Linked DNA regions of Anolis sagrei. The protein of the gene in region 1 interacts with the protein of each later gene in a biochemical or structural test. Links are inferred from orthologs where the notes say so. Each region holds a gene or a part of one and is shown in the gene's direction. Other genes may lie near its edges. The genes, in order: COPS5, MIF, IKBKB and CUL3.

The links.
Region 2: the proteins of COPS5 (region 1) and MIF form a complex in vitro, tested with the Homo sapiens proteins (2 studies listed by BioGRID). The link is inferred for Anolis sagrei from reciprocal best matches to the Homo sapiens genes COPS5 and MIF.
Region 3: of the proteins of COPS5 (region 1) and IKBKB, one has a biochemical effect on the other in vitro, tested with the Homo sapiens proteins (2 studies listed by BioGRID). The link is inferred for Anolis sagrei from reciprocal best matches to the Homo sapiens genes COPS5 and IKBKB.
Region 4: of the proteins of COPS5 (region 1) and CUL3, one has a biochemical effect on the other in vitro, tested with the Homo sapiens proteins (2 studies listed by BioGRID). The link is inferred for Anolis sagrei from reciprocal best matches to the Homo sapiens genes COPS5 and CUL3.

The regions. Positions count from the first base shown.
Region 1 is NC_090024.1:45,219,232-45,226,127, forward strand, and holds the start of COPS5 (COP9 signalosome complex subunit 5), read left to right. Parts: upstream 1-3,872; 5' UTR 3,873-3,985; coding exon 3,986-4,152; intron 4,153-6,896. UniProt on the Homo sapiens protein: Probable protease subunit of the COP9 signalosome complex (CSN), a complex involved in various cellular and developmental processes.
Region 2 is NC_090026.1:765,806-773,704, forward strand, and holds the start of MIF (macrophage migration inhibitory factor), read left to right. Parts: upstream 1-4,886; 5' UTR 4,887-5,067; coding exon 5,068-5,175; intron 5,176-7,324; coding exon 7,325-7,500; intron 7,501-7,899. Other genes in the region: solute carrier family 2, facilitated glucose transporter member 11-like, read left to right, coding at 766-963.
Region 3 is NC_090027.1:24,636,411-24,643,294, reverse strand, and holds the start of IKBKB (inhibitor of nuclear factor kappa-B kinase subunit beta), read left to right. Parts: upstream 1-3,870; 5' UTR 3,871-4,009; coding exon 4,010-4,123; intron 4,124-6,884.
Region 4 is NC_090023.1:234,255,528-234,262,982, reverse strand, and holds the start of CUL3 (cullin-3), read left to right. Parts: upstream 1-4,438; 5' UTR 4,439-4,912; coding exon 4,913-4,978; intron 4,979-7,455. UniProt on the Homo sapiens protein: Core component of multiple cullin-RING-based BCR (BTB-CUL3-RBX1) E3 ubiquitin-protein ligase complexes which mediate the ubiquitination and subsequent proteasomal degradation of target proteins.

The DNA.
Region 1 (6,896 bases):
TTGCTGATGAACAATGCTGGCTCTTCGACTTAGAAATGGAGATGAGGACCACCCCCCAGAGTCCAACACAACTAGACTTAATGTCAGGGGAAACCTTTACCTTTTAAACCACATCAGCTCTAGTTTCTGATACGGAACATATGCCATCCAGAAGTCGCCATCTGCTTTCCCACAGAAAACCATACTGAATCTAGAGCTGATGTGGTAGTAGTAATCATTTGTGGGTAGTCAACCACTCCCCTCTCGATATCCCTGTTGCCTTGGCACTATAAGAAGGTTTCACAAGACCAGTCACAGGGTTTTGCGAGATCAGTCGCTCTCATTGCCACGTAGTTTCGAGGCAACAATGTTTTCATTCTTGTGGACCACGTGTACTGCCACGTCTCAAGGCAATGGCATCCCAGGAGTTGTAGTTTTACAAGGTCTTTAGCCTTCTTGGGCCAAGAGTGTGGCCTCCCCAAATTACAATTCTCATTTACTGGAGTTAATAGACTTTTAATTTAGACATATATACTTATATAGGGATATGCTTATCCATTTGAGTAAGAACTCCAACAACTAGTTCTGTGTGTGTTTTAAAAGAAATGAGAGCTAAAAGGATATCACCCATGAAAAGCACCTCTATGGACATGGGTGGCTTCTTAGTAGTGAGCAAAGATACTGAAAAAAAATATCTTTGATGCACTTTACATTGCTTGAAAGAAACTCAATAAAGTAATTAACAAACAGAAGCACAGGAAATATTCTATATATTAATTGGGGGTGGGCATGCTCATCAAGCTCTGAAGTAATAAATGATAGCAGTGCTATTTCCGGCATTCCTGTTATCTCTATTTGGGTGATTCTTGTTTCTTGAAATCCATTTTTCCAAAAAAATTTAACATATTTACAAGACCACCACATGTGTATATATGTACCAGTTTCTTGCCAGCCCCTCCAGCACTGCTTAGAGTATTTCTTATGGATTTGATTTAATCTGACTGGTGTGAGATGCCATCTCCACACCACTTTGTAATAATTCTCTTTTATTCTTATTGACAGATTTTAATATGCCATATTCCTTTCCAATTTTGAGGGTATATTACTTTAATACAATCCGATTCCCACATTCCTTTACGGTGGTCCTGCTCCTGGACTCCTTCCAACAATATTTTATAGATATCGCTTGTTACACCTTTTTGTTCTTCCTTTTTCTTCCTTACTCCCTCTTTGGCTAATCATTTCTTCAAATTTAGTAAGTTCTCAATCTCCTTTATATTTCTTTCTTATTCCCCTTAACCATCTTTCCAATTGTAGAGCTTTATACCACCCAATACTTCATCCTGATAATTGGTCCTTTATCTCCTCTATATTTTTCATCTTTGGTTCCCAGTCTTTTAATTTCATTATTCCTTTTTCTTTTAATTCTCTTTCTAACTCCTTTTTGAGATTTATAGGAAAATTATTTGTAATCAACACTGGAGTTAATGGGGAGATCGGCGGTATTAATTTTTCTTCATACTTAGACCATATTTCAAATATATATATATACTTAACAGCGTTCTCTATTTTGTTATACCATTTCTTCCCCAAATTCCTGATTTTCCCTATGAAGAAAATATATTCTGGATTTATATCTATGTCTTCACTCCCTCTTCTAACCATTCTAAATCACTCTGACCCATAATCCCTTTGACAATATACCTTAACTGGTTTGCTATGGAATGTCTAGGATGGGAGAAATCCCAACAAAGGATTCCCCAAGGCAGGAAGCAGCCAGACTTTAAAGCTGCAAGGCTATTCAATGTTAATCGAGCTGACTTTATATAACCATGGAATGTCCAGAATGGGAGAAATCCCAACAAAGGATTCCCCCAGGTAGGAAGCAGCCAGACTTTAAAGCTGCAAGGCTATTCAATGTTAATCGAGCTGAGTTTATATAACTGTGGAATGTCCAGAATGGGATAAATCTCAACAAGGGATTCCCCCAGGCAGGAAGAAGCGAGACTGCACGGCTATTCAATGTTAATCAAGCTGAGTTTATATAACCGTGGGATGTCCAGGATGGGAGAAATCCCAACAAAGGATTCTCCCAGGTAAGAAGCAGCTGTAAGGCTATTCAATGTTAAACAAGCTGAGTTTATATAACTGTAGAATGTCCAGGATGGGAGAAATCCCAACAAAGGAGTCCCCCAGATAGGAAGCAGCCAGACTTTAAAGCTGCAAGGCTATTTAATGTTAATGAAGCTGAGTCTGCCCCGGAGTGTAGTGGAGGCTCCTTCTTTGGAAGCTTGTAAACAGAGGCTGGGTGGCCATCTGTCAGAGGTGATTTGAATGCAATATTCCTGCTTCTTGGCAGGGGGTTGGACTGGATGGCCCATGAGGTCTCTTCCAACTCTAGGATTCTATGATTCTATATAACCGTGGAATGTCCAGGATGGGAGAAATCCCAACAAAGGATTCCCCCAGGTAGGAAGCAGCCAGACTTTAAGGCTGCAAGGCTATTCAATGTTAATCGAGCTGAGTTTTTATAACCGTGGAATCTCCAGGATGGAAGAAATCCCAACAAAGGATTCTCCCAGACAGGAAGCAGCCAGACTTTAAAGATGCAAGGCTATTCAATGTTAATAAAGCTGAGTTTATATAACCATGGAATGTCCAGGATGGGAGAAATCCCAACAAAGGATTCTCCCCGGCAGGAAGCAGCCAGACTTTAAAGATGCAAGGCTATTCAATGTTAATCAAGCTAAGTTTATATAATCGTGGGATGTTCAGGATGCAAGAAATCCCAACAAGTATTTTAGTTTTTATCTTGCACATGCGGCCTACTCATTGTTATGTTATTTTATTTTACTGTGTATGATTTTGGTTATTGTTTTTGTACTCATATGTTGTATGAATTTTTCTGTGTTGTCACTGTGTTTTGGTTTTACTTTATTGTAATATGCTGTTGGGCTTGGCCTCATTTAAGCCTCCCTGAGTCCCCATTGGGGAGATGGTGGTGGGGTATTAAATAAAGTTGTTTATTATTATTATTATTATTATTCCCCCCGGTGGCGCAGTCGGTTAAAGCACTGAGCTGCTGAGGTTGTTGATCGAAAGGTCGCAGGTTCGATTCCGGGGAACAACGTGAGCTTCTGCTGTCAGCCCTAGCTTCTGCCAACCTAGCAGTTCGAAAACATGCAAATGTAAGTAGATCAATAGGTACTGCTCCGACGGGAAGGTAACGGCGCTCCATGCAGTCATGCCGGCCACATGACCTTGGAGGTGTCTATGGACAACGCTGGCTCTTTGGCTTAGAAATGGAGATGAGCACCACACCCCAGAGTCAGACATGACTGGACTTAATGTCAGGGGACTACCTTTACCAACCTATTCCCCCAGGCAGGAAGCAGCCAGGCTTTAAAGCTGCAAGACTATTCAATGTTAGTCAAGCTGGCCAGCTGCAATATTCCCACTTGCCTCAAGTAGTCAAGAGTTCTTTGTCCCACCTCAGACATTCCACAGATATAAACCCCACTTGCCTAGTTTCCAACAGACCTCACAACCTCTGAGATGTGGGAGAAACGTCAGGAGAGAATGCTTCTGGAATATGGCCACACAGCCCGGAATATTCACAGCAACCCAATGCAGATGAGAAGTTCATGACTTCCTCCCGGTGCTTACGAATCTGCTTTTAGCCCAAGCTTCTAAGTTCAAAGCTTGTGTCTCCCAGGAGGCCTTGCGGCATGACGCGCCTTTTCCCCCGACAGCGCATGCGCCGTAACGCCAGGCGGAAATGACGCCAAAAAAAGGTTGGCAAGACAAAGCCGATTCCAGGCGGGAGGGTCACGCCGTTGTTGACCGCTAGGGGGCGCGCGAACTAGGGGCGTGCCGCACAGCGCGGACGGAACCCTTCCGCGAAGAGCGACACCCACCGGCTTCCGTAGTAGCACTGGGCTGGCGGAAAACAGGCCGGCAGGCAGGCTCGGTCCGGCTGCCTGCCTGTCAGTGGAGAGCGGGCCTTATGGCGGCGGCGGCGGCAGCAGCGGGGCCCTCGGGCAGCAGCGGGATGGCCCAGAAGACTTGGGAACTGGCGAACAACATGCAGGAGGCGCAGAGCATCGACGAGATCTACAAGTACGACCGCAAGCAGCAGCAGGAGATCCTGGCCGCCAAGCCCTGGACCAAGGAGTGAGTTCTGGGCCCAGCACCCTGGGAGGTGGTGTTTGGGGAGGCTTTAGAGCAGGCATGGGGCAGCTTGGGCCTTGCAAGGGTTTTGGACTCCAACTCCCACCATTCCTCACAGCCTCAGGCCCCTTCCTTTTCCCCCTCACTAGCGGCTGAGGGGGAAAAGGAAGGGGCCTGAGGCTGTGAGGAATGGTGGGAGTTGGAGTCCAAAACCCCTGCAGGGCCTAAGTTGGCCCGTGCCTGCTGCAGACTCATAATCTAAAGCCTGAACTATTCCTAGACGCTGACATAATTGAAATCAGACTGCCATGACTTATCATGAGAAGGCGTCACTCATTACAAAAGACGATACTCATTACAAAATGGTTCTGGCCCAACTTGCCTGTCCAAACAAATCTCCCCTTATGAACCTTCGAGGACTTTAAGATCGTCCAAAGGAGAGGCCCTGCGCTCGGTCCCGCCATCATCACAAGCACGGCTGGCGGGGATGAGAGACAGAGCCTCCTCAGTGGTGGCCCCTCAGCTATGGAACGCCCTTCCAAGGAGATCAGATTGGCTTCTTTGCTCCTAGCATTTCGGAAGAATCTTAAGACATGGCTATTTAAGCAGGCATTTGCGAATACTGAGTAACAGACATTATTATTATTATTATTAACTTTATTTGTACCCCGCTAGCATCTCCCAAAAGACTCGATGCGGCTTACAAAGGCCAAGGCCTCAAAACACAACATAACAATACACAACCTAAAGCAAATTTAAAACAGTTAAAGCAATATTAAACAACATGCAATAAAACAATACACCGGGACACAATAAAACTGGGCCGGGCCAGAGTAATGGGTACAGATTAAAAGTGCTGATGTGACAGGTGATATGTAAGGATTATAGGGTAGTGCAGTGTGCCAGCAATTTTAATTTCTAATAAAGTGCTTTCTGGGACTTGTTGTTGGAGTTTTCCTATTCTGGAAAGGCACATCGGAACAGCCAGGTCTTCAGGTTCTTTCTAAAGACTGCCAACGTAGGGGCCTGTCTAAGATCTTTGGGGAGGGTGTTCCAAAGTCGGGGGGCCACCACAGAAAAGGCCCTGTCTCGCGTCCCCACCAAATGCGCCTGCAACGCAGGCGGGATCACGAGCAGGGCCTCTCCGGATGAATGAAGTGAGCACGTGGGTTCATAAACAGAGATGCGGACATAAGAATGGAATAATAATAATAATATTTATTTGTACCCCGCCACCATCTCCCCAGTGGAGACTTGGAGTGGCTTACATGAGGCCAAGCCCAAACAACAATTACAGTAAAGAACAACCGAACGCAAACCGAAAATGCAAACAATAAACTGCAACATCATAATTACATAAAACATATTAATATACAACAATATAAAATTACAGTAAACACAAACACAGTGACAATGGGCGGGCTATATGTAATGGTTAAAAGAAGAACTAATTAAAACTGGTTAAAAACTCGGGTGAGATAAAAGAGAAACAAATTATTTGTGGAGGAGGGCTCATTATAGTGGGAGTTGTGGAATCAAGCTTTCCCATGAGGGGGGGAATGTATTCTCCAGTGACAGAACATTGCAAATGAATGATAATGTGGGATTGAATACCTATTCACCAAAGGCGCAACAGAAGAGCCAGGTTTTGAGGTTCTTTTTAAAAGTTTCTAGGGTAGGGGCTTTCCTAATTTTTCCTAACAACTACATGACGGGGCTGGACATTGTGTTAATAAGTATTTATTGAATTATGTTTTATTATAGTGTTATGATTTTATTGATGTTGACATTTTATATTGTAATTGTGTTCTTGGTGGCATTGAATTTTGCCTTGTAAACTGCCTCGAGTCGCCGGAAGGCTCAAAGCGGTGGTATACAAATATACTAAATATATAAATAAATATATTGGTGAGGTTGAAAGACCACGTTGCAGATAGAATCATACAGTTGGAAGAAACCCCTTGACAAGAAGCAGGAAAATCACATTCTTACTTAGGCGATCCCTCGTAGTTTGAGGATGATGGTCTTTCAGATGTGGTGCCTTGGCAGTGGGTTCGTAGGTGGCTGTTGAGCCTTATTCTTGATCCGCATGTTCTCCCGCAGTTAAGGACATTGGTTTCCAGGTGGAAGGCGGTTTCTGTCAGGGTTGGCTTGACGCGCCTTCCTCTTGGCATGTTTCTTCCTCCATTTGTGCCTCTTTGAATTCTGCAGCATTGCTGGTCACAGCTGACTTCCAGTTAGAGCACCCAATGGCCAGGGCTTCCTAATTCTCGGTGTCTATGCCATAGTTTTAAGCCCATCTTTAAATCTCTTTTCCAGCCCATCAACATTATGTTTTCCGTTCTTGAATTGGGAGTAGAGTAACTGCTTTGGGAGATGGTGATCGGGCATTCGGACAACATGGCCAGTCCAGCGGAGTTGATGGCGGAGAACCATAGCTTCACTGATGGTGGTCTTTGCTTCTACCAGCACATTTATATTTGTCCGCCTGTCTTCCCAAGAGATTTGCAGGATTGTTTTGGAGGCAACGCTGATGGAATTGTTACAGGAGTTGTGTGTGAAGTCTGTAGACAGTCCACGTTTCGCAGGCATTATAGCAAGGTTGGGAGAACAATGGCTTTATAAATCACATTCAAAGCACCCACGACAAATGACCATCCAACCTCTGCTTAAAAGCCTCCAAAGAAGGAGCTTCCACCATACTGGGGCAAAGAGTTCCACTGCTGAACAGCTCTCGCAATGAGGAG
Region 2 (7,899 bases), on another chromosome or scaffold:
AATTTAAATATTTTTAAATATTAAATATTTTTAAAATATTTACATTTTTTAAAAAAATTCAATAATTTAATACAGAATTAGTCATTTTTTAAAAAAACATTAAGAATGATTTAATTTGATATTTTTAAAATATTAAATATTTTAAAAATATTTACTTTTTTTAAAAAAAATTAATTTAATATGAATTTAATTTTTCTATGTAATATTTTAAGTTCGGTAAATTTCCTTATTTTTACATTTTTATTCTATTTTTAATTTCAGTAATTTAAAATAGAATTAATCATTTTTTAAATATTAAATATTTTTAAAATATTTACTTAAAAATTAATTTAATATGAATTTAATTTTTCTATGTAATATTTTACGTTTAGTTAATTTCCTTATTTTTACATTTTTATTCTATTTTTAATTTCAGTAATTTAAAATAGAATTAATCATTTAAAAAAATATTTAGAAGAATTTTCTATGTAATATTTTAAGAATTTTCTATGTAATATTTTAAGTTTGGTTAATTTTCTTGTTTTTAAATTTTTTTATTCCATTTTAAATTTCAATAATTTAAAATAAAATTAATCATTTTTAAAAAAATATGAAGAATGGTTTAATTTAAATATTTCAAAATATTAAATATTTTAAAATATTTAAAATATGAAAAATGGTTTAATTTAAATATTTTTAAAATATTAAATATTTTTTAAATTTTTACTTTTGTAGAACAATTGATTTAACATGAATGTAATTTTCCTCTTTTTCTCCTTCCTGCAGGAACACTTTGGCCAGTTCTGCTTCCTGCTTTTCATGGCCGTCTTGTATCTCTCCGGTTTCCTCGTTTACTTCTATCTTCCGGAAACCAAAGAGAAGTCGATCATGGAAATCCGGAAGGAATTCGACAAGATCAATTTCAAGAAGGAATTGGAAACGAGCGCTGCCCCAGACGCCCCCGCCTTCTGCACCAAATTATAAGGATTGGGGGGGGGGGGGGGGGGATAGATTTTTGGACCCCAAAATTCCTTCTTTCTAGAAATCCAAATTTATGCTTCCATTTTTTGTTAATAAAGCAACTGTTCTCGCTCTCTAAGTTACTTTGCATCCTTGTTATCTGTGTCTGTCCACCACAAAAGAATTACTGATAGTAACTACAAGTAACGGCAACTAATTATAATGCAAATTACCCAAATAACTGCAGTTGCAAAAAGAAATGTAAGTAACTACATTGTAAAACTAATTATATAAAAGTAACTGCAAAAGTAATTACAATGAATTAGAACATAAAAGCAACTGGTGAAAAGTAACTCTTGTTGCAAAAGGAAATGTAAGTAACGACATCATAAAAATAAATATGCTTATAAGTAACTAACACAAAGGTAACTGCTGACAAGTAACTCTTGTTGCAAAAGGAAATGTAGATAACATCGTACAACTAAATGTATAAAAGTAACTAACAATAATTACAACTATAACATAAAAGCAACTGCTGAAAAGTAACTCTTGTTGCAAAAGGAAATGTAAGTAATGACATCATAAAACTAAATGTGCAAAAGTAACAGTAACAATAATTACAAGTAACTACAATACAAAAGTAACGGCTGAAAAGTAACTTGTTGCAAAAGGAAATGTAAATAACAACATCATAAAACTAAATGTGTAAAAATAACAGTAACAATAATTACAAGTAACTACAATACAAAAGTAACGGCTCAAAAGTAACTTGTTGCAAAAGGAAATGTAACGACATTGTAAAACTAAATGTGCTTACAAGTAACTAACACAAAAGTAACTGCTGAAAAGTAACTTGTTGCAAAAGGAAATGTAGATAACATCGTACAACTAAATGTATAAAAGTAACTAACAATAATTACAACTATAACATAAAAGCAACTGCTGAAAAGTAACTCTTGTTGCAAAAGGAAATGTAAGTAATGACATCATAAAACTAAATGTGCAAAAGTAACAGCAATAGTAATTACAGGTAACTAACACAAAAGTAACTGCTCAAACGTAACTGCAGTTGCTGAAGGAAATGTAAGTAACAACATTGTAAAACTAAATGTGCAAAAGTAACTACTCAAAAGTAACTGCATTTGCAAAGGGAAATGTAATTAATTACAATACAAAATGAAATGTACAAAAGTAATTGCAATTCCAAAAATGTGTTGAAAAAGGAAATGTAAGTAATGACATCATAAAACTAAAGGTACAAAAGTAGCAGCAACAGTAATGACAAGTAACTACAACACAAAAGTAACCACTCAAGAATAATCATAGTTGCAAAAGGAAATGTGAGTAATTATAATACCAAACGAAACGTACAAAAGGAACTGCAATTACAAAAAGAAAACCATGATATGTAGTTGAACTGCAGATACTATTATTATTATTTTATGTATTTATTCCTTGCTGTATCTCCCTAAAGCGAACTCAAAGCGGCTCAAAGAGATCGGTGTAGATAACGTTATCACTATGCCTAAGTAACGAATGCTGGACAAGGTGTGTCTTGAACTACTTTCTAAGGGGCACTCTCCCTTCCCGCTCTCTGATTGGTCCTTGTCAACTCACTTCCTGCATTTTCTGCCAACTTCTGCCCAGAAATTGCATTAACTGCAAACTTGAAAAGGGTCAACAATTAGCTTGCATCAACTTTTGGTTTTCCTTTGGCCAAAGTGGAAAGAAAGAGGGAGAGACGGACAGAATGGCCGCCTTAGTCTCTGACCGGGTGAGCCATAGAATCCTAGTGATGGGATGGCAGAGTTGGGATGGTCCCCCAAAGGCCATCCAGTCCATCCGCTTGGGTCCCCCAGCCTCTTGAGTCCATACATTACTTTTCATGACTTATTTCTTCTGCTGTTGATTCCTCTCCCAAAAGGATTCCTTGGTTGATATCTAATTATACTTCCAGAAGAAGATCTCCAACCTCTGGAGACCAGGATGCAAGGGAGACATGGCTTCCAACTACAGGAAAGAAAGGAGATTCCACCTGAACATGAGGAAGAACTTCCTGACTGGGAGAGCTGTTCAGTAGTGGAACTCTCTGCCCCGGAGGGAGTGTGGTGGAGGCTCCTTCTTTGGAAGCTTTTAAGCAGAGGCTGGATGGCCATCTGTCAGGGGTGATTTGAATGCAATATTCCTGCTTCTTGGCAGAATGGGGGTGGACTGGATGATGGCCCACGAGGTCTCTTCCAACTCTAGGATTCCATGATTCCATGATTCTATGAATGTGTCCAGAGGAGGGAGACTCAAATGATCAAGGGTCTGGAGAACAAGCCCTGTGAGGAGTGGCTTCAAGAGCTGGGCATGTTTAGCGTGCAGAAGAGAAGGCTGAGAGGGGATATGATGAGAGCCCTGTATAAATATGTGAGAGGAAGCCACAGGGAGGAGGAGGGAGCAAGCTTCCTTTCTGCTTCCTTGGAGACTAGGACGCAATGGAACAATGGCTTCAAACTACAAGAGAGGAGATTCCACCTGAACATGAGGAAGAACTTCCTGACTGTGAGAGCCGTTCAGCAGTGGAACTCTCTGCCCCGGAGTGTGGCGGAGGCTCCTTCTTTGGAAGCTTTTAAACAGAGGCTGGATGGCCATCTGTCGGGGGTGCTTTGAATGCAATATTCCTGCTTCTTGGCAGAATGGGGTTGAGCTGGATGATGGCCCACCAGGTGAAATGTGGACCATTTCCGCTCCCTTGGCAGCCACCTCTCCACAAAAGTCAACATTGATACTGAGATTCAACACCACCTGAGCTCTGCGAGTGCAGCATTTTCCCGAATGAAGCAGAGAGTGTTTGAGGACCGGGACATCCGTAGGGAGACCAAGGGGCTTGTCTATAAAGCTATTCCCCTCCCAACCCTGCTCTATGCCTGTGAAATGTGGACTGTCTACAGATGTCAACACTGAGACTGAAATACAATACTGCCTGAGCTCTGTGAGTGCAGCATTCTTCTGAATGAAGCAGAGCATGTTTGAGGACCGGGACATCCGAAGGGAGACCAAGGGGCTTGTTTAGAAAGCTGACTGGGAGAGCTGTTCAGCAGTGGAACTCTCTGCCAAGATTCTTCTGAATGAAGCAGAGAGTGTTTGAGGACCGGGACATCCGTAGGGAGACCAAGGGGCTTGTTTATAAAGCCATTGTCCTCCCAACCCTGCTCTACGCCTGCGAAACGTGGACTGTCTACAGATGTCAACATCGACACTGAAATACAACACCGCCTGAGCTCTGCGAGTGCAGCATTTTCCTGAATGAAGCAGAGAGTGTTTGAGGACCGGGACATCCGTAGGGAGACCAAGGGGCTTGTTTATAAAGCCATTGTCCTCCCAACCCTGCTATATGCTTGCGAAACGTGGACTGTCTACAGATGTCAACATCGACACTGAAATACAACACCGCCTGAGCTCTGCGAGTGCAGCATTTTCCTGAATGGAGCAGAGAGTGTTTGAGGACCGGGACATCTGTAGGGAGACCAAGGTGTTTGTCTATAAAGCTATTGTCCTCCCAACACTGCTCTATGCCTGCGAAACATGGACTGTCTACAGATGTCAACATTGAGACTGAAATACAACATCGCCTGAGCTCTGTGAGTGCAGCATTTTCCCAAATGAAGCAGAGAGTGCTTGAGGACCGGGAAATCCATAGGGAGAGACCAAGGGGCTTGTTTAGAAAGCTGACTGGGAGAGCTGTTCAGCAGTGGAACTCTCTGCCAAGGGGAGGGAGGGCTCTCCTTCCTTCCTTCCTCCTTCTTCCTTCCCTGCCTTCGGGCTCCAGGAGGGTCTGCCTGTTTGTCTGCCTTTTCCAGGCTGTCCTCGTTTGAACCCTCTCTGCCTCCCTCCTTCCCACGTGACGCGGGGGGCGTGTCTGTGTCCCCCCCAAGGGGGTGTGGCCACCCCTCCCCTGGCCCCGCCCTCTTCCGGTCCTGGCCAGCTACGTGCTTGCACGCACAGACTGCCTTCTTCCCTGCCTTCCTGCCTTCCTTCCTTCCTTCCTTTCCTGCCATTGCGCTGCATTGCGACCCAGGCGGGCTTCTGTTTCCTTCCTTCCTTCCTTGGCTTCCTTGCTTCGACTTCCTTCCTTGGGGGAAGATGCCGATGTTCGTGCTGAACACCAACGTGGCGGCGGAAGGCATTCCGGACAGCTTGACCGCAGAGATCACCGACCAGCTGGCCAAGGCCACCGGGAAGCCCAGCCAGGTCAGGAAGAGAGGAAGGGAAGGAGGGAAGGAAGGGAAGGAAGGAAGGAGGAAGGAAGGAAGGAAGAGCGGGAGATGGAAGGAGAGAAAGCACAGGAAGGAAGGAAGGAAGGAAGGATGGGAAGGGAAAACGAAGGAAGGAAGGAAAGGAGGATAGAGGAAAGATTCCAGGAAAGGAGGGAGGGAGGGAGGGCTGGAAGGAAAGGAGGAGAGGAAGGGAAAGAGGGAAAGAAGGGAAGGGAAGAGAGAGAAAGGAAGGAAGGAGAGAAGGAGAGGGGAAAGATGGGAAGGGAGGACAAAGGCAGGAAGGAAAGGAGGATAGAGGAAAGATTCCAGGAGAGGAGAAAGGAGAGGAGGGAAAGAGGGAAAGGAAGGAGGAATAGAGGAAAGGATAGGAGGAAGGCAGGACAAAGGAAGGAAGGAAGAGGGAGAGAAGGAAGGAGAGAAAACTCAGGAAGGAAGGAAGAGAGGGAAGGATGGGAAGGGAAAACGAAGGAAGGAAGGAAAGAAGGATAGAGGAAACATTCCAGGAGAGGAGGAAGGAAGGAGAGAGGAATGAAGGTCTGGAAGGAAAGGAGGAGAGGAAAGGCTATGGAAGGAAGGAATACAGGGAAGGATGGGAAGGGAGGGCGAAGGAAGGAAGTGAAGGGAAAGAAGGGGGAAGAGAAAAAGGATTGCAGGAGAGAAGGAAGGAAGGAAAGGCTCAGGAAGGGAAGGAAGGAAGGAAGAGAGGAAAGGGTGGGAAAGGAGGGCAAAGGAAGGAGGGAAGTGAAGGGAGAAAGAAAAGAAAGAAAGAGGAAGAGATGGAAGGAGAGAAAGGCAGAGAGAGAAAGGAAGGGCCAAGGAAGGGATAGATGGATGGAAGGAAGGACAAAAGGGAGGAAGGAGGGAAAACTATAGGAGAGGTGAAAGGAGAGAAGGAAGGAAAGGAAGGAAGAAGTGGGCGGAAGGAAGAATGAACACAGAAGGAGAGAAAAGGAGGGAGGGAAAGACCAAGGAAGGAAGGAAAGATGGAAGGGAGGGAGGGAGGAAAAGGGGAAAGAAGGAAGAGAAAAGGGAGGAAGATTCCAGGAGAGAAGGGAGGAAGGAAGGAGAGAAAGGGAGAAGGGAAAACAAAATGCTAAAGAAGGAATAGATGGAAAGAGGGAACACAGGAAAGGATGGGAAGGGAGGGCAAAGGAAGGAAAGAAGGGAAGAAAGAGGAAAGATTCCAGGAGAGGAGGAATGAGAGGAGGGAAAGAGGGAGGGAGGAATCTTCTCTGAGAGAAAGCTCACACCCAGACAATGCTCTCTTGTCTTCTTCGCCCTTCCTTCCCTCCCTCCACCCTTTGTGACCTACTTATTTCCCCCCTTCCTTTCTCTCTTCCCTCCCTTTCCTTCTCCTCTTCCTTTCCTTCCCTCCATCCTTCCCTTCATTCATTCTCTCCCACCCTTGGCTACTGCCTTCTTTCCTTCCTTCCCTCTTTCCTTCTTCCTTCCCTGCCACCCTTTGTTCCCTCCTTCTTTCCTTCCTTCCCTCTTTAATTCCTCCCTTTCCCTCTCATTTCCTTCCCTCCCTTCCACCCTTTGTTCCCTCTTTCTTTCCTGTCTTCCCTTCCCTCCTTCCTTTGCTTTCCTCCATCCTTCCCTTCTTTCCTTCCCTCCCTCTTTCTTTCCTCTCTTCCCTCCCACCTTTTTTCCCCTCCTTCTTTCCTTCCTTCCCTTCCATCCTTCATTTCTTTCCTTCTCTCCCTTTGTTCATTCCTGCCTTGCCTCCATTTCCTTCCTTACCTCTTTAATTCCTTCCTTTCCCTCTCATTTCCTTCCTTTCCTCCCTTCCACCTGTTTGTTCCCTTTCTTTCCTCTCTTCCCTCCCCCCTCTTTACCTCCCTTTCTTCTCTTCTACATTCCCTTCCACCCTGTTACCTAATTCTTTCCTTCCTTCCCTTTCCTCTAATTTCCTTTCCTCCCTTCTTCCTTCCCTCCCACCCTTTTTCCCCTCCTTCTTTCCTTCCTTCCTTCCTTCCTTCCTTCCTTCCTTCCTTCCTTCCTTCCTTCCTTCCCTCCCTCCTTCATGTCTTTCCTTCCCTCCCTCCCACCCTTTGTTTCCTCTTCCTTCCTTCCCTCCTTCATTTCCTTCCTTCTCTCCTTCCCTCTTTCACTTTCCCCAGTACATCGCGGTGCACGTCCTTCCCGGCCAGCGCATGTCCTTTGGGGGCTCCTCGTCGGAGCCGTGCGCCCTGTGCAGCCTCCACAGCATCGGCAAGATCGGGGCCGCCCAGAACAAGGCCTACTCCAAGCTCCTCTGCGCACTCCTCCAGGACAAGCTACACATCCCGCCCGACAGGTAGGTAGACAGGTGGGCAGAGCGCCAGGGGACCACAGAAGGCAGCCAAGCAGGCACCCCACCCATCGCTAGGGACCACATTGACTCAAATCTAAGGCGCACCCCTTTGGGCGGGTTACAATTAAAGATTATTATTATTATTATTATTTTCCCCTAAACTGCCTTCCCAAAACCAGGCTGCACATTAGATTCACATCATCTATGGTCAATACTTTTGTGGCTTTCAGGGTTTTGAACATGGAGGGGCGCATCAGATTCGATGGCGCATTAGACTCCAGGAAATACTATATATATATATATATATATATAGAGGAATTGTTAGGAATTGTGGGAGTTGAAATCCCAACACACCTGGAGGGGGGGAGGGCCCAGGTTGGCCCATGCATGGTGTGTGTGTGT
Region 3 (6,884 bases), on another chromosome or scaffold:
CATTAGAAAACATGTATTTCTGAGGGTCTTAGGAACCCCTTTGGCAGAGAAGGCTGAAGATCTCTCTGCCTGTCCTTCTGTTCTTTTTTGAAAACAGATGGGGAATCCTCCCACCAAAGCCCTCCTCTGCTGTGAGTGACTGGCCTCTCAGCTGGCCTCAAAACCAAGGGGAGGGTTGTTTTTAAATTTTCAAGCAGGGGAGGGGAGAGCAGGCATACCCAGCACATGGCAGCGTGGTGCGCATGTGCGAGCAAGGAAGAGCATGTGATGCTGGAGGGAGGCTTGCGCCAGTGAGTCCCTTCAAGGCATGGGGGTACTGTGTGAAAGGTTTGGCCCATTTCTATCGTTGGTGGGGTTCAGAAAGCTCTTTGATTGTAAGTGAACTATAAATCCCAGCAACTACAACTCCCAAAAGTCAAGGTCTATTTCCCCCAAACCCCACCAGTGTTCATATTTGGGCATATTGAGTATCCATGCGAAGCATGGTCCAGGTCTATCATTGTTTGGGTCCACAATGCTGTCTGGATGTAGGTGAACTACAACTCCAAAGCGCAAGGTAAATGCCCACCAAACCCTTCCAGTATTTTCTGTTGGTTGTGGGAGTTCTGTGTGCCAAGTTTGGTTCCATTCCATCTTTGGTGGAGTTCAGAATGCCCTCTGATTGTAGATTAACGATAAATCCCAACAACTACAACTTCCAAATGACAAAATCAATTCCCCCCAAACCCCACCAGGATTCAAATTTGGGCGTTCCAGGTATTTGTGCCAAATTTGGACCAGTGAATGAAAACATATCCTGTGTAGCAGATATTTACATTACAATTCATAAATAATTTTATGGCCATCCAGTCTCCTTACCAATCCTCCAAATGGAAACACCTTTTTTAGATGCAAAAAGGAAACTCCTGATATTGTGACAGAGAAGATGCCTTTTGAAACACAAAGTTGAATTGATTGTTGACATGGTTTGTGCATTAAAAGCATCCCATTGAAGCCTCTTTGCCTGTCTAGCAAAGCTTGACCTAATGGCCACATTATTAAGCACGGAAAAGGGGAAATTTTACCAAAGTGCGAAGGAGTGGGTAAGGTTGCAGGAAGATGTGATCCCATCTGGACATTGGAGTAGTTCTGCAACGGAAAATCCAGAGCAGAGGATAAATGTATGAGGGCATGCTTTCCTTAGGATGTTTTTGTGTTTGTGTAGTGAAGAGGATGAGAAAAAGAAATCACAGTAGTAATACTTTCTGCCTCATGCCAAGGATGCAAAACACAAATCTTAGACTTCTGTCTACGCATAAATTTTATCTATAAATAGAGCAGATGCTGCCCTCCTGTGGCTACATCATATCACAGGCCCAAACTACACTGCCCTATACTCGTCTCTGAATCCAGATGATCAGCTTTGAACAGGATTATATGGTACTGTTTTCACTGAACATTGAGAAAACCAAAGTACTCTTCCAGCAAGCACCAGCCAATCCCTCTGCAATGCCAGAAATACAGCTTAATGGTTTATTAAGTCAACATGGATTTATCAAAAACAAGTCATGCCAGACTAACCGGATCTCTTTTTTTGATAGAGTTACAAGCTGGGTAGATGCGGGGAATGCCGTGGATGAAGCATACCTGGATTTCAGTAAGGCCTTCGACAAGGTTCCCCATGACCTTCTGGCAAACAAACTATTCCAATGTGGGCTAGGCAACACTACGGTGAGGTGGATCTGTAATTGGTTAAATGGATGAACCCAGAGGGTGCTCACCAATGCTTGTTCAAGGAGCTCCACTGCCTGCCATTTATTTTCAGAGCCCAATTTAAGGTGCAGGTGCTTACCTACAAAGCCCTAAATGGTTTGGGACCATCCTACCTACGTGACCGTATCTCCATTTATGAACTCACGCACTCACTTCGGTCATCTGGAGAGGCCCTGCTCATGATTCCGCCAGCGTCGCAGGTGCGTTTGGTGGGGGACGCGAGACAGGGCCTTTTCTGTGGTGGCCCCTCGACTCTGGAACACCCTCCCCAAAGATCTTAGACAGGCCCTTACATTGGCAGTCTTCAGAAAGAACTTGAAGACCTGGCTGTTCCGATGTGCCTTTCCAGATTAGGAATCTCCAATAACAAGTCCCAGAAGCACTTTATTAGAACTAAGATTGCTGCACACCGCACACTGCACTTACCCTATAATCCTTACATATCACCTGTCACATCAGCACTTTTAATTCTGTACCCATTACTCTGGCCCGGCCCAGTTTTATAGTGTCTTGATGTATTGTTTATTGCTTGTTGTTTAATATTGCTTTTATTGTTTTTAATTTGCTTTAGGTGTTGTATTGTTGTGTTGTGTTTTGAGGCCTTGGCCTTTGTAAGCCGCATCAATTCAATTCCATCTCTGGTGGAGTTCAGAATGCTCTTTGATTGTAGGTGAACTATAAATCCCAGCAACTACAACTCCCAAATGACAAAATCATTCCCCCATCCAACCCCACCAGTATTCAAATGTGGATATTTTTGCCAACTTTGTTCCAGTTAATGAATGAAAACACACACTGCATATCAGATATGTTTTCACATTGTGATTAATAACAATAGCAAAATTACAAAATGTATGAAGTAGCAATGAAAATAATGTTATGGTTGTCGAAGGCTTTCATGGCTGGAATCACTAGGTTCTTGTGGGTTTTTTCGGGCTATAGGGCCATGTTCCAGAGGCATTCTCTCCTGACGTTTCGCCTGCATCTATGGCAAGCATCCTCAGAGGTAGTGAGGTCTGTTGGAAATAGGACAATGGGTTTATATATCTGTGGAATGGCTGGGGTGGGGCAAAGAGCTCTTCTCTGCTGGAGCTAGGTGTGAATGTTTCAACTGGCCACCTTCATTAGCATTTGAAGGCCTGCCTGAGCCTGGGAAAATCTTTTGTTGAGAGGTGTTAAGATGTGCCTGGTTGTTTCCTCATGTTATAGTAAAGAGTAGAGACATCAGACTGGCAACAAAGATCCGCCTAGTCAAAGCCATGGTATTCCCTGTAGTAATCTATGGATGTGAGAGCTGGACCTTAGGGAAGGCTGAGCGAAGGAAGATCGATGCTTTTGAGCTGTGGTGTTGGAGGAAAGTTCTGAGAGTGCCTTGGACTGCGAGAAGATCCAACCAGTCCATCCTCCAGGAAATAAAGCCCGACTGCTCACTGGAGGGAAGGATACTAGAGACAAAGCTGAAGTACTTTGGCCACATCATTAGGAGACAGCAAAGCCTGGAGAAGACAATTATGCTGGGGAAAGTGGAAGGCAAAAGGAAGAGGGACCGACCAAGGGCAAGATGGATGGATGGCATCCTTGAAGTGACTGGACTGACCTTGAAGGAGCTGGGGGTGGTGACGGCCGACAGGGAGCTCTGGCGTGGGCTGGCCCATGAGGTCACGAAGAGTCGGAGACGACTGAACAAATGAACAACAACAATGGTTCTCAACTTTCCTAATCCTGCGACCCCTCAATACAGTTCCTCATGTTGTGGTGGTGGTGGGGGGGGTCACCCTATATACATCTCCTGTCACATCAGCACTTTTAATCTTGTACCCATTACTCTGGCCCGGCCCAGTTTTATTGTGTTTAGTGTATTGTGCCTGTTGTTTATTTTGCTTTATTCTGTTTTTAATTGTTTGATTTGCTTAGATTGTATTGTTGTGTTGTGTGTTGAGGCCTTGGCCTGTGTAAGCCGCATCGAATCCTTCGGGAGATGCTAGCGGGGTACAAACAAAGTTTAATAATAATAATAATAATAATAATAATAATAATAATAACCACTGATCTATTTGTTTTTCTTTTTTTTTAATGCTGCGGTCCCTTTAAGGCGCGGCCTAGTCTTTTTCTCCCTCGGGGCCCGCCTCCCTTTTCCTGAAGACGCGGAAGGAGAGCGGCGCGGCCTAGTCCTGCTGCTGAGGGAGGAAACAGAAGCAGGAGGAGGAAGGGGGGTTGTATTCGGTGTCCCCGTGAGGAGAAGCCGGGCTGGTTTGCGATGGCGCCTCCGCCTCCTCCACCGCTCCAGCCCACGGCCTCCTGCGGGGCTTGGGAGATGCGCGAACGGCTCGGCACCGGGGGCTTCGGCAACGTCATCCGCTGGCAGCACAAAGTGAGTCAGGGAGGGAGGGAGGGAGGGCCAGAGGGGCGTGGCTTGCGGCTGAGACTTCAACTCCCAGAATGCTGGCTGAGTCTTCTGGGAGCTGGAGTCCACATCCCTCTGTAAGGCCAAAGTTACCCCAATACCCCCATGCAGATGGGACATAGGAAGCACTAGCTGTCCCCTGCCATGCGTTGCTGTGGCCCAGACTGGTGATCTGGAAAATTATGCAATTTTCAAATGCAAATCAAGGTGATCAGCTGAAACATCCACAGCTAGCCCCAGCAAACAAAAGTCCTTTGTCACACCCTGGTCATTCCACAGATATATAAACCTAGTTTTTCCTACTTCCAACAGACCTCTTTACCTCTGAGGATGCTTGCCATAGATGCAGGCGAAACGTCAGGAGAAAAATTGCCTCCAGAACATGGCCATATAGCCCGGAAAAACCTACAGCAACCCAGTGATTCCGGCCATGAAAGCCTTCGACAATACATGGAAAATTATTATTATTATTATTAATTGTTAACTATATTTATACCCTGCAAAATCTCCCGAAGGACTCGATGCGGCTTATAAAGGCCAAGGCTGCAACAAACAACAACATACAAATATAACAATAAAACTCATAAGCAAACAATAAAACATCAAGCAAAGACAATAAAACACTAAAAACAATGACACCATGATGCATTTAAAATCTAGAAGGCCGGGCCAAATGTAATGGACAAAATTTAAAAGTGCTGAACTTGACAGGAGGTATGTAACGATTTTTGGAGGTAGGTGCAATGTGCAGACAATCCTGGTCTCTAACAAAGTGCGTTTGGGACATGATGCCGGGAGTTTCCTATTCTGGAAAGGCACACTGGAACAGCCAGGTCTTCAGGCTCTTCCTAAAGATTGTCAAAGTTGGGGCTTGTCTGATGTTCTTGGGGAGAGAGTTCCAGAGTCGGGGGGCCACCACAGAGAAGGCCCCGTCCCTCGTCCCCACCAAACGCGCTTGAGACGCAGGTGGGATCGTGAGCAGGGCCTCTCCAGATGATCGAAGGGAACATGTGGGTTCATATATGGAGATGCGGTCACGCAGGTAGGCGGGTCCCAAACCGTTTAGGGCTTTGTAGGTGAGCACCTGCACCTGAAATTGGGACCGGAAGATGAACGGTAACCAATGGAGCTCTTTAAACAGGAGGGTTAACCTCTTTCTGTAAGGAGCGACAGTTAACAGCCTGGCCGCCGCCCGTTGGACCAGTTGAAATTTCCGAGCCATTTTCAAGGGCAGTCCCACGTAGAGTGCATTACAGTAGTCCAATCTAGAGGTGACCAAGGCATGGACCACCCCAGCCAGATCAGCCTTTACGAGGTACAGTCTCAGTTGGCGCACAAGTCTCAATTGTGCAAAAGCCCTCCCGGACACCGCCGACGCCTGAGCCTCAAGCGTAAGTGATGAATCCAAGAGGACACCCAAACTGCGGACCTGTGACTTCAGGGGGAGTGTAACCCCGTCTAGCACAGGTTGCCACCCTATACCCCAATCCGGTTTATGATCGACCAGGAGGACCTCTGTCTTGTCGGGATTGATCTTCAGCTTGTTCATCCTCATCCAGTAATGGTTTCGAATTTATGTAATTCTTTTATTTGTGAACATCCTGTGGCTCCTCCATGATGACATGATGGCAACAGTCTTGGATAGCAACGGCTTCCAAAGTGACCCATTTAAGGTGGAATCAGGCGTCAAACAGGGATGTGTTATTGTCCCAACTTTATTCTCCATCTTCATCGCTATACTTCATCTTGTTGATAGGAAGCTTCCCACCGGAGTGGAAATAATCTATAATCAGACAGATGGCAAGCTGTTTAACCTCAGCAGACTGAAAGCCAAAACCAAGGTTACAACAACATCTGTTACAGAACTCCAGTATGCTTGTGACAATGTCGTCTGTGCACATTCAGAAGAAGATCTACAAGCCACTCTAAACACCTTCGCAGAAGCATACACGAAGCTCGGCCTGTCACTGAACATCAAAAAAACCAAAGTACTGTTCCAGCAGTTTCCTGCCAACCCCTCTCCAATGCCAGAGATACAGCTTAATGGTGTAACATTAGAAAATGTTGACCAACACCACCTGAGCTCTGCGAGTGCAGCATTTTTCTGAATGAAGCAGACAGTGTTTGAGGACCGGGACATCCATAGGGATACCAAGGTGCTTGTTTATAGAGCTATTGTCCTCCCAACCCTGGTATATGCCTGCGAAACGTGGACTGTCTACAGACATCACATGCAACTCCTGGAACGATTCCATCAGCGCTGCCTCTGGAAAATCCTGCAAATATCTTGGGAAGACAAGCGGACAAACGTCAGTGTGCTGGAAGAAGCAAAGACCACCAGCACTGAAGCGATGGTCCTCCGCCATCAACTCCACTGGACTGCCAATGTTGTCCGGATGCCCGACCACTGTCTCCCGAAGCTCCCACAACTCCCACAATTCCTAACAGTCGGTAAACACTATCAAAACACACACAACAACACTATCAAAACACATACAAGATACACATTAAAAAGACTAAATGCATAATGAAATTCTCGATTTAAAATGGACTTGTCGACGTTCCTCTCATAATCCCCTGCTACTTGTCCTTTTCAGAATATCGTTTTTGCCCTTTCCAAAATCTCCTTGCAAGAACAACTCCCTGAAGGCTCCAAAAGCATTTATTTGTCAGGTTTTGGGAGGCAGTTTTGAGAATCAGTGTGCTGCGTTCATCACATTGTTGGCAT
Region 4 (7,455 bases), on another chromosome or scaffold:
AGGCGTCTACAGACAATGCCAGCTCAGAAACTGAGATGAGCACCACCGCCCAGAGTTGGACATGGGGGAGACCCCGCTGTTAGGCCCAGTTTCTGCCAACCTAGAAGTTTGAAAACATGCAAATGTAAACAGATCAATAGATACTGTTTCTGAGGGAAGGTAATGGCACTCTACGCAGTCATGCTGGCCACATGACCTTGGAGGCATCTACGGAGAGAAATTGAGATGAGCACCACCCCCCAGAGTTGGACATGACTAGACTTAATGTAAGGGGAACCCTTTACCTTTACCTTGCATAGCTAGCTGTTTGGAGAGAGGCAAGTGAAATATATAAAATATAATAACAATAGTTTCACAGTGCTCGTGGCTCACCGAACTACAACTCCCAGGATCCCATACCACTGAGCGTTTCATCAGGGACTGCCCTTTGACCAAAGAGACCTGGCAAAAGGTGGCTGTTGTCTTTGACTGGCCAGACTTGGTGATCCAACCTTGGGAGGCAGTGGCCTCAGGAATGGAGCCGGAAACCGGTATTTGGGGGCCACGTCGACACCAAGGAAGGAAGAAGAGGGGACAGCAGGGGGACACCCAGGAGGCTTTTTGGGATATTCCTTGGTCAACGACAAGGTTGATCAACTTGTAAGTTCTCCTGGTTTTGCATAGCTGGCCCTGGTTTTCCAGAAATAACTCAAAGAGAAATAAATCAAAACCCAGCAAATGTTACCTCTACTGTGAATTGGGTAGTAGAGAAAATAGGAGCCCTGAGTAAAACAGAATGAGGCAGGATGCCCTCTAACCAATAGAAAATGTTCTGGCCCTGGCTGGCAGGGACCACACAAGGGATCACCTGAAGAGTTGTAGGTTTTATATAGATATTAGTACAAAAGAAAAAATTGAAAAGTTTGATATATATTAACTGAAAGATATATGTGTGTGTGAATTTGCAATTGTGTTTGTAACTATAACTGTATTTGTAATTGAAACCAAAGAATGATTTAGAAAATGTAAATGTTACAAGAACTGTAAATATTACAAAACTAAGTACGTCTCATTTGATTGTGATTATCAGCAAATGTGTTTGTATAACATATTTATTATAATAAAAAGTACTTATAACCCCCCTGCTCCCCCAAATTACTTATATGTTCTCCTGAGCTATGGAAGTTTAAAAGCGGTGTCGAACTGCACTAATTCTAGATCAGACATGGACATACTTGGGTTAGAAATTGTGTGAGATGAAGTCCAAAACACCTGGAGGGCCCAGGTTTGCCCAGGCCTGATTTACACTATAGAAGCAATGCAGGTTAACATACTTTAATTACCTCGGCCCAATGCTATGTGCTCATGGGATTTGTTGTTCGATGGGGCACCCAGCCCTCTTGGGCAGAGAAGCCCAAACTCTGTTCATGCCTGTGCTAGATGCACCCTATAAACATCTATGTATGTATGTGTTGTAAGCGAATGACAATTAAAATCCTGTATTGTCGAAGGCTTTCATGGCTGGAATCACTGAGTTGTTGTAGGTTTTTCGGGCTGTATGGCCATGTGCTAGAAGCATTATCTCCTGATGTTTTGCCTGCATCTATGGCAAGCATCTTCAGAAGTTGTGAGGTCTGTTGGAAACTAGGAAAATTGGGTTTATATATCTGTGGAATAATGTCCAGTGTGGGAGAAAGAACTCATGTCTGTTGGAGCAAGTTATGTTTCAATTGGCCACCAGATTAGCATTTGATGGCCTTTTAGGTGTGGCTTGTTACTGCCTGGGGGAATCCTTCATTGAGAGGTGATTATTGTTGTTTATTTGTTCAGTCGCTTACGACTCTTCATGAACTCATGGACCAGCCCATGCCAGAGTTCCCTGTCGACCGTCACCACCCCCAGCTCCTTCAAGGTCAAGTCAGTCACTTCAAGGTTAACATCCATCCATCTTGTCCTTGGCCGGCCCCTCTTCTTTTTTTGCTTCCATTTTTCTCAGCATCATTGTTTTCTCTAAGCTTTCATGTCTTCTCATTATGTGGCCAAAGTACTTCATCTTTGCCTATAATATCCTTTCCTCCAATGAGCAGTCGGGCTTTATTTCCTGAAGTATGGACTGGTTGGATCTTCTTGCAGTTCAAGGCACACTCAGAATTTTCAGTAATAGTATGATAGCTGGTATGGAAGCTCCGAGCATTACGCACATTCCGCTACGACGATTGTGAATAAGAGAAGGGACCACGTAGTTCAGAGAGGGGGCGGAGTGAGAGCGGCACAGTGAGGTCAGGAATATACTTTGTAGTTGCATTTGGTGGAAGGATAGAAAGGAGGGGAGGGTTAGGATATGGTCTAGAGTAAGGTTTAGGGTTAGGATTAGGGGTTAGTCTTAGGGTAAGGTTTACGGTAGTAGGGTAAGGTTTAGGGTTAGGATTAGGGGTTAAGCTTAGGGTTAAGGTAAGTTTTAGGGTTAGGGTAAGGTAGGGTAAGGTTTAGGGTTAGGTTTAGGATTAGGGTAAGGTTTAGAATTAGGGGTTAGGATTGAAGGGTTAGGTTTAGGGTTAGGATTGGGGGTTAGGTTTAGGTAGGGTAAGGTTTAAGGTTAGGATTAGGGGTTAGGCTTAGGGTAAAGTTTAAGGTCAGGGTTTGGGTTAGGATTAGGGGTTCGTCTTAGGGTAAGGTTTAGGATAAGGTAGGGTAAGGTTTAGGGTTGGGTTAGGGGTTCGGCTTAGGGTAAGGTTTAGGGTCAGGGTTTGGGTTAGGATTAGGGGTTAGGTTTAGGGTTTGGGGTTAGGCTTAGGGTAAGGTTTAGGGGTTACGTTTAGGGTAAGGATTAGGGTGAGGTAGGGTAATGTTTAGGGTTAGGCTTAAGGATTAGGCTTAGGGTAAGATTTAGGGTTAGGGTTTAGTTTAGGCTTAGGGGTTAGGCTTAGGGTAAAGTAGGGTTAGGGGTTAGGCTTAGGGTTTTACCATTCAAGAACTCTTACATTCCTTCTATAATATGTGTCCGGCCTGGCTTATAGTATCTCAGTCTCTCACTCTGCCGCCCGTCTCGGTCATGTGTTCTGTTCTGCGTTGCGCAAACAGCGCTCCCAAAGGAGTGAAACGGACCCAGCTATCACTATCACCGAATTTTCCTCCAACACCACAGTTTATTTATTTATTTACTTATATACCGCTGTTCTCAGCCCGGAGGCGACTCACAGCGGTTCACAACAAATAAGAACAGCAAAAATTCAATGCAACAGTGTAAAAACAGTTAACAACCTACATATTACACAATTAATAAACAATTACTACAATAACCATTCACTGTCATCTCATCATCAGAAACATGATCCAGATTCGTCATCCATTGTTCCATTCCTATGTTCATTAACCAATGTTAATGTTCACTCCCTCTTGGTTCCGGCCCAAGATACCTAACTGACCGCCTCTTGGCCTATGAGCCCACAAGGACTTTGAGATCTTCCGGGGAGGCCCTGCTCTCGATCCCGCCTGCGTCACGGGCGCGGCTGGCGGGGACGAGAGATAGGGCCTTCTCGGTGGTGGCTCCTCGGCTATGGAACACCTTTCCCGTGGACATCAGGTTAGCTCCCTCCCTGTTGATATTCCGCAGGAAGTTAAAGACCTGGCTATTTAAGAAGGCATTTGATCAAGAAGTGCAATGACTGGTAATTTGACCATAGGAATGGAACAACGGAAATGATATCGGATTGTGGGTTTGACGATGAGACGACTTGGAATGGCTTTGTAGCAATGTTGATGTTTTGATGAGATGTTTTCTGATAATGTTGAATTGTGGATTATTTTCTTCATGTTGTACACCGCAATGAGTCGCCCTTGGGCTGAGAATTGCGGTATATAAGCGCAGTAAATAAATAAATAATCATTGCACTAATTACTCAAACACCTGCTCAAACAGCCAGGTCTTCACTTTTTTTGCGGAAAGTTCAAAAGCATCTATCTTCTTTCACTCAGCTTTCCTTAAGGGCCTGGTCTCACATGGTGATTAGCTGCCCCTGATTGTTTCTTGTCTGGAGTTCCCCTGTGTTTGAGTGTTGTTCTTCATTTCCTGTTATAATTTCAAGAGCTTCATTTTGAAGTACTCAACCCCTCCCCAACAGGGCCTGTGTTGGAACACCTGTCGCCCCAGAGCGGCCTTCGATGGAACAAACGTGCCAGAACTCCCTCCTCCCGCGAGCACTCTGGCCACGTGACCACAACCTCCCTCTCCACCCTCTCTCTCTCCTCCCCCCTCCCTTCCCGTGTCAGCAGCACCCGCCGCCGCGCGCCATCTTCCTCCAATCCCCGCCCACTCCGTCCTCCCACTTTCCTTCTGGGAGGAAGGAAGGAAGGAAGGAAGGGAGAGAAAGAAACCCCTCCCCCTCCTCCTCCTCCTTCTCAATCCTCCTCTTGGCCCCTCCCTTCCCCTCTGGTGGGAGTTTTCTCGAGAGAGAGAGAGAGAGAGAGAGAGAGAGAGAGAGAGGGAGTTCTCGCGAGAGCGGCCTTCTCCTCCTCCTCCTCCTCTCGCTGGCTCTTGCGCCGCCGCCACCGCCGCCGCCGGATCTGCTTGTGTTTCTGTCTGAGGGAGGAAGAGGAGGAGGAGGAAGGCGAGGAGGAGGAGGAGGGGAAAGGGAAGGGAGGGGAGGGGGGCGCCGCTCGGCCCTGCGCACTGAGCGATGTTTGGCCGCCATCGCGGCGGCGGAGGAGGAGAAGAAGCAGGAGCAGCGGGCAGCAGCAGCGGCGGAGGCGGCGAAGGGGGCTGAGGGGCCCGCCACTACTCCCACGCAGGAGCCACTTGGGCCTACCTCCCGCCTCGCCCTCGGAGTGAAGGTCGCCGCCGTGTGAGGAGGAGGGGAGGCCTTCCTTCTCCTCCTCCTTCGTCCCCCTTTCCCTCTCCCCTTCCTTCCTTCCTTCCCCTCAGGAAGGCCCGAAGATGTCGAACCTGAGCAAAGGCACGGGCAGCCGGAAGGATACCAAGATGCGGATCCGAGCCTTCCCGGTGAGTGAGTGAGGGAGGGAGGGAAAGAAGGAAAGAGTGAGGAGGCTCTCTCTCTTCAGGGGAGGGAGTTGGGAGAGTTGACGACGACGCGGCGGCGTTGGGCCTGGAGCCCCACAGCCGGCCTGGGCCTCGCCTAGGAGTTCCCTAGAGCCAGGCCCGGGCGCCAGAGGCTGTCAGCGCCGAGCCCACAGGAAGCGGAGGAAGAGGCCAGGCCGGGCCCACCATCGGCCCCTCGCTTCCCCGCCGAAGACATCCTCACCCCGGCCTCTCTTTCGAACGGTTTAAAAGAAAACAACAGCTACACCCGCCTCCACACAAACACACGCGAGTCTGTTACAGGCCTCGGCGTCAAACAGGACGGGCCCAAAAGTCACCTGATGTTTCTCATAACTCCCTCAAAAGAAAACAATTGGGAAAAGATTTCACACATAGGGTTTGTCCTGGGATACAAGGCCTGTCTGGAAGTGCCCATAAGCAGGAAGTTCTTCCTCCAAATGTTTTAAGTGGATTCCCTTTCCTTGCAGTTTGAATCCATGGCTCCTCTTTAGCCTTTTGATTTTAATTTCACATTATCATAACATCCTATAAGAAATAAATAAATTTACTGTATATACTCAAGTATATACTCTTGTTTTAGGCTGAAAAATGTCCCCCTCAGCTTATACTCGAGTCAAGGATATTTATTATTTTACTCTGTCATTATTATTATTATTATTATTATTGCATTTATTATTTTACTCTATTTATTATTATAGTTATTTTACTTTATTATTATTACAAAGTCCCCCTCGGCTTATACTCAAGTCAAGGTTATTTATTATTTTACTCTGTCATTATTATTATTGTTGTTGCATTTATTATTTTACTCTATTTATTATTATAGTTATTTTACTTTATTATTATTACAAAGTCCCTCTCGGCTTATACTCGAGTCAAGGTTATTTATTATTTTACTCTGTTATTGTTATTATTGCATTTATTATTTTACTCTATTATTATAGTTATTTTACCTTATTATTATTACAAAGTCCCCCTCGGCTTATACTCGAGTCAAGGTTATTTATTATTTTACTCTGTCATTATTATTATTATTGCATTTCTTATTTTACTCTATTATGACTATAGTTATCATTTTATTTTATTATTTTATTTTATAAGTGTTATAATTAAATGTAGTATTTTACTCTATGATTGTTATTATTCCATTTATTATTTCACTCTATAGTATTATTCCATTTATTATTTTACTGTCTTTATTATTATTATTATAAGGATACGTAAGCACATTTATATTGAAGGTTAGGGCAGTCTTATCTTAAATTACAATTTTATATAAATATTCAAAAACATTTAATCTACTGATGCCTCAATTAATGTAATTTTATTGGTATATTTTCATTTTGAAATGCACCAGTAGCTTCTGAATTTCTCACCCTCGGCTTATACTTGAGTCAATCAGTTTTCCCAGTTTTTGTGGTAAAATTAAGTGACTTGGCTTATATTTGGGTCAGCTTATACTCGAATATATACGGTATTTATTTACTTATATTACTTATACCCTGCTTTTCTCTACCCCAAGGGAGACTCAAGGCGGCTTACATATGGCAGTTATTCTATGTCTTAACACATACAGAAATTGAGCTAAAATAATTTGAATTGATAATACCCGAAGGGACTCAGACGTCCTACATGGGGCCAGGCCCAATGGTACACTTAAAACATAACACATTAAAATCACATCAACAAAATAATAACAGAAACTATATAGCAAAATAAATAACCAATAATGTTAGGCAATATAAAACAAAAGGTCAGGGCCAACAACCAACTGTAAGATTCAGTGTCTCATCGTGGGTGGGCGGACTGGTGCCACAACCATAGAGGACAGAGCTAGTGAGTAAGTCTATCATATAGCAGCATTAAGGGTAGAAAAAAAATATCAGCTAGGGTTGAGGTATATAAGGACAGGTTTTTGTATGTATGTCCTGACTAGGACCAGCTATCCAAGGAATTGCCTAGTCAAAGACGGAGAACATCATCCAGGTCTTTTGAGTCCTTGCGGAAAGTGGACAGAGAGGGTGCGAGCCAGATCTTACTAGAGAGGGAATTCCAGAGCTGGGGGGGGGGGGGGCACGACTGAAAACGCCCTTTCCCCACCATCTGCACCTGAGATGGAGATGGCAGCGAGAGAAGAACCTCACCAGAAGATCTTAAATATCGTGTGGGTTCGCAGAGGAAGATGCAGTCACAAAGATAGGCAGGCCCTGAACCGTTTAGGTGATGACCTGCACCTTGAATTGGGACCAAAAACGTATCGGCAGCCAGTGGAGCTGTTTAGGCGGCGGTGGGGGGGGGGGGGGTGTTACAATTAATAAATATTAAATATATTTTTAAATGACATTCAATGTTAAAATCATGCCATCCAGAAATTATAGTATAAGATCACTGCACATATTCCAATTAAATTATTACACTGC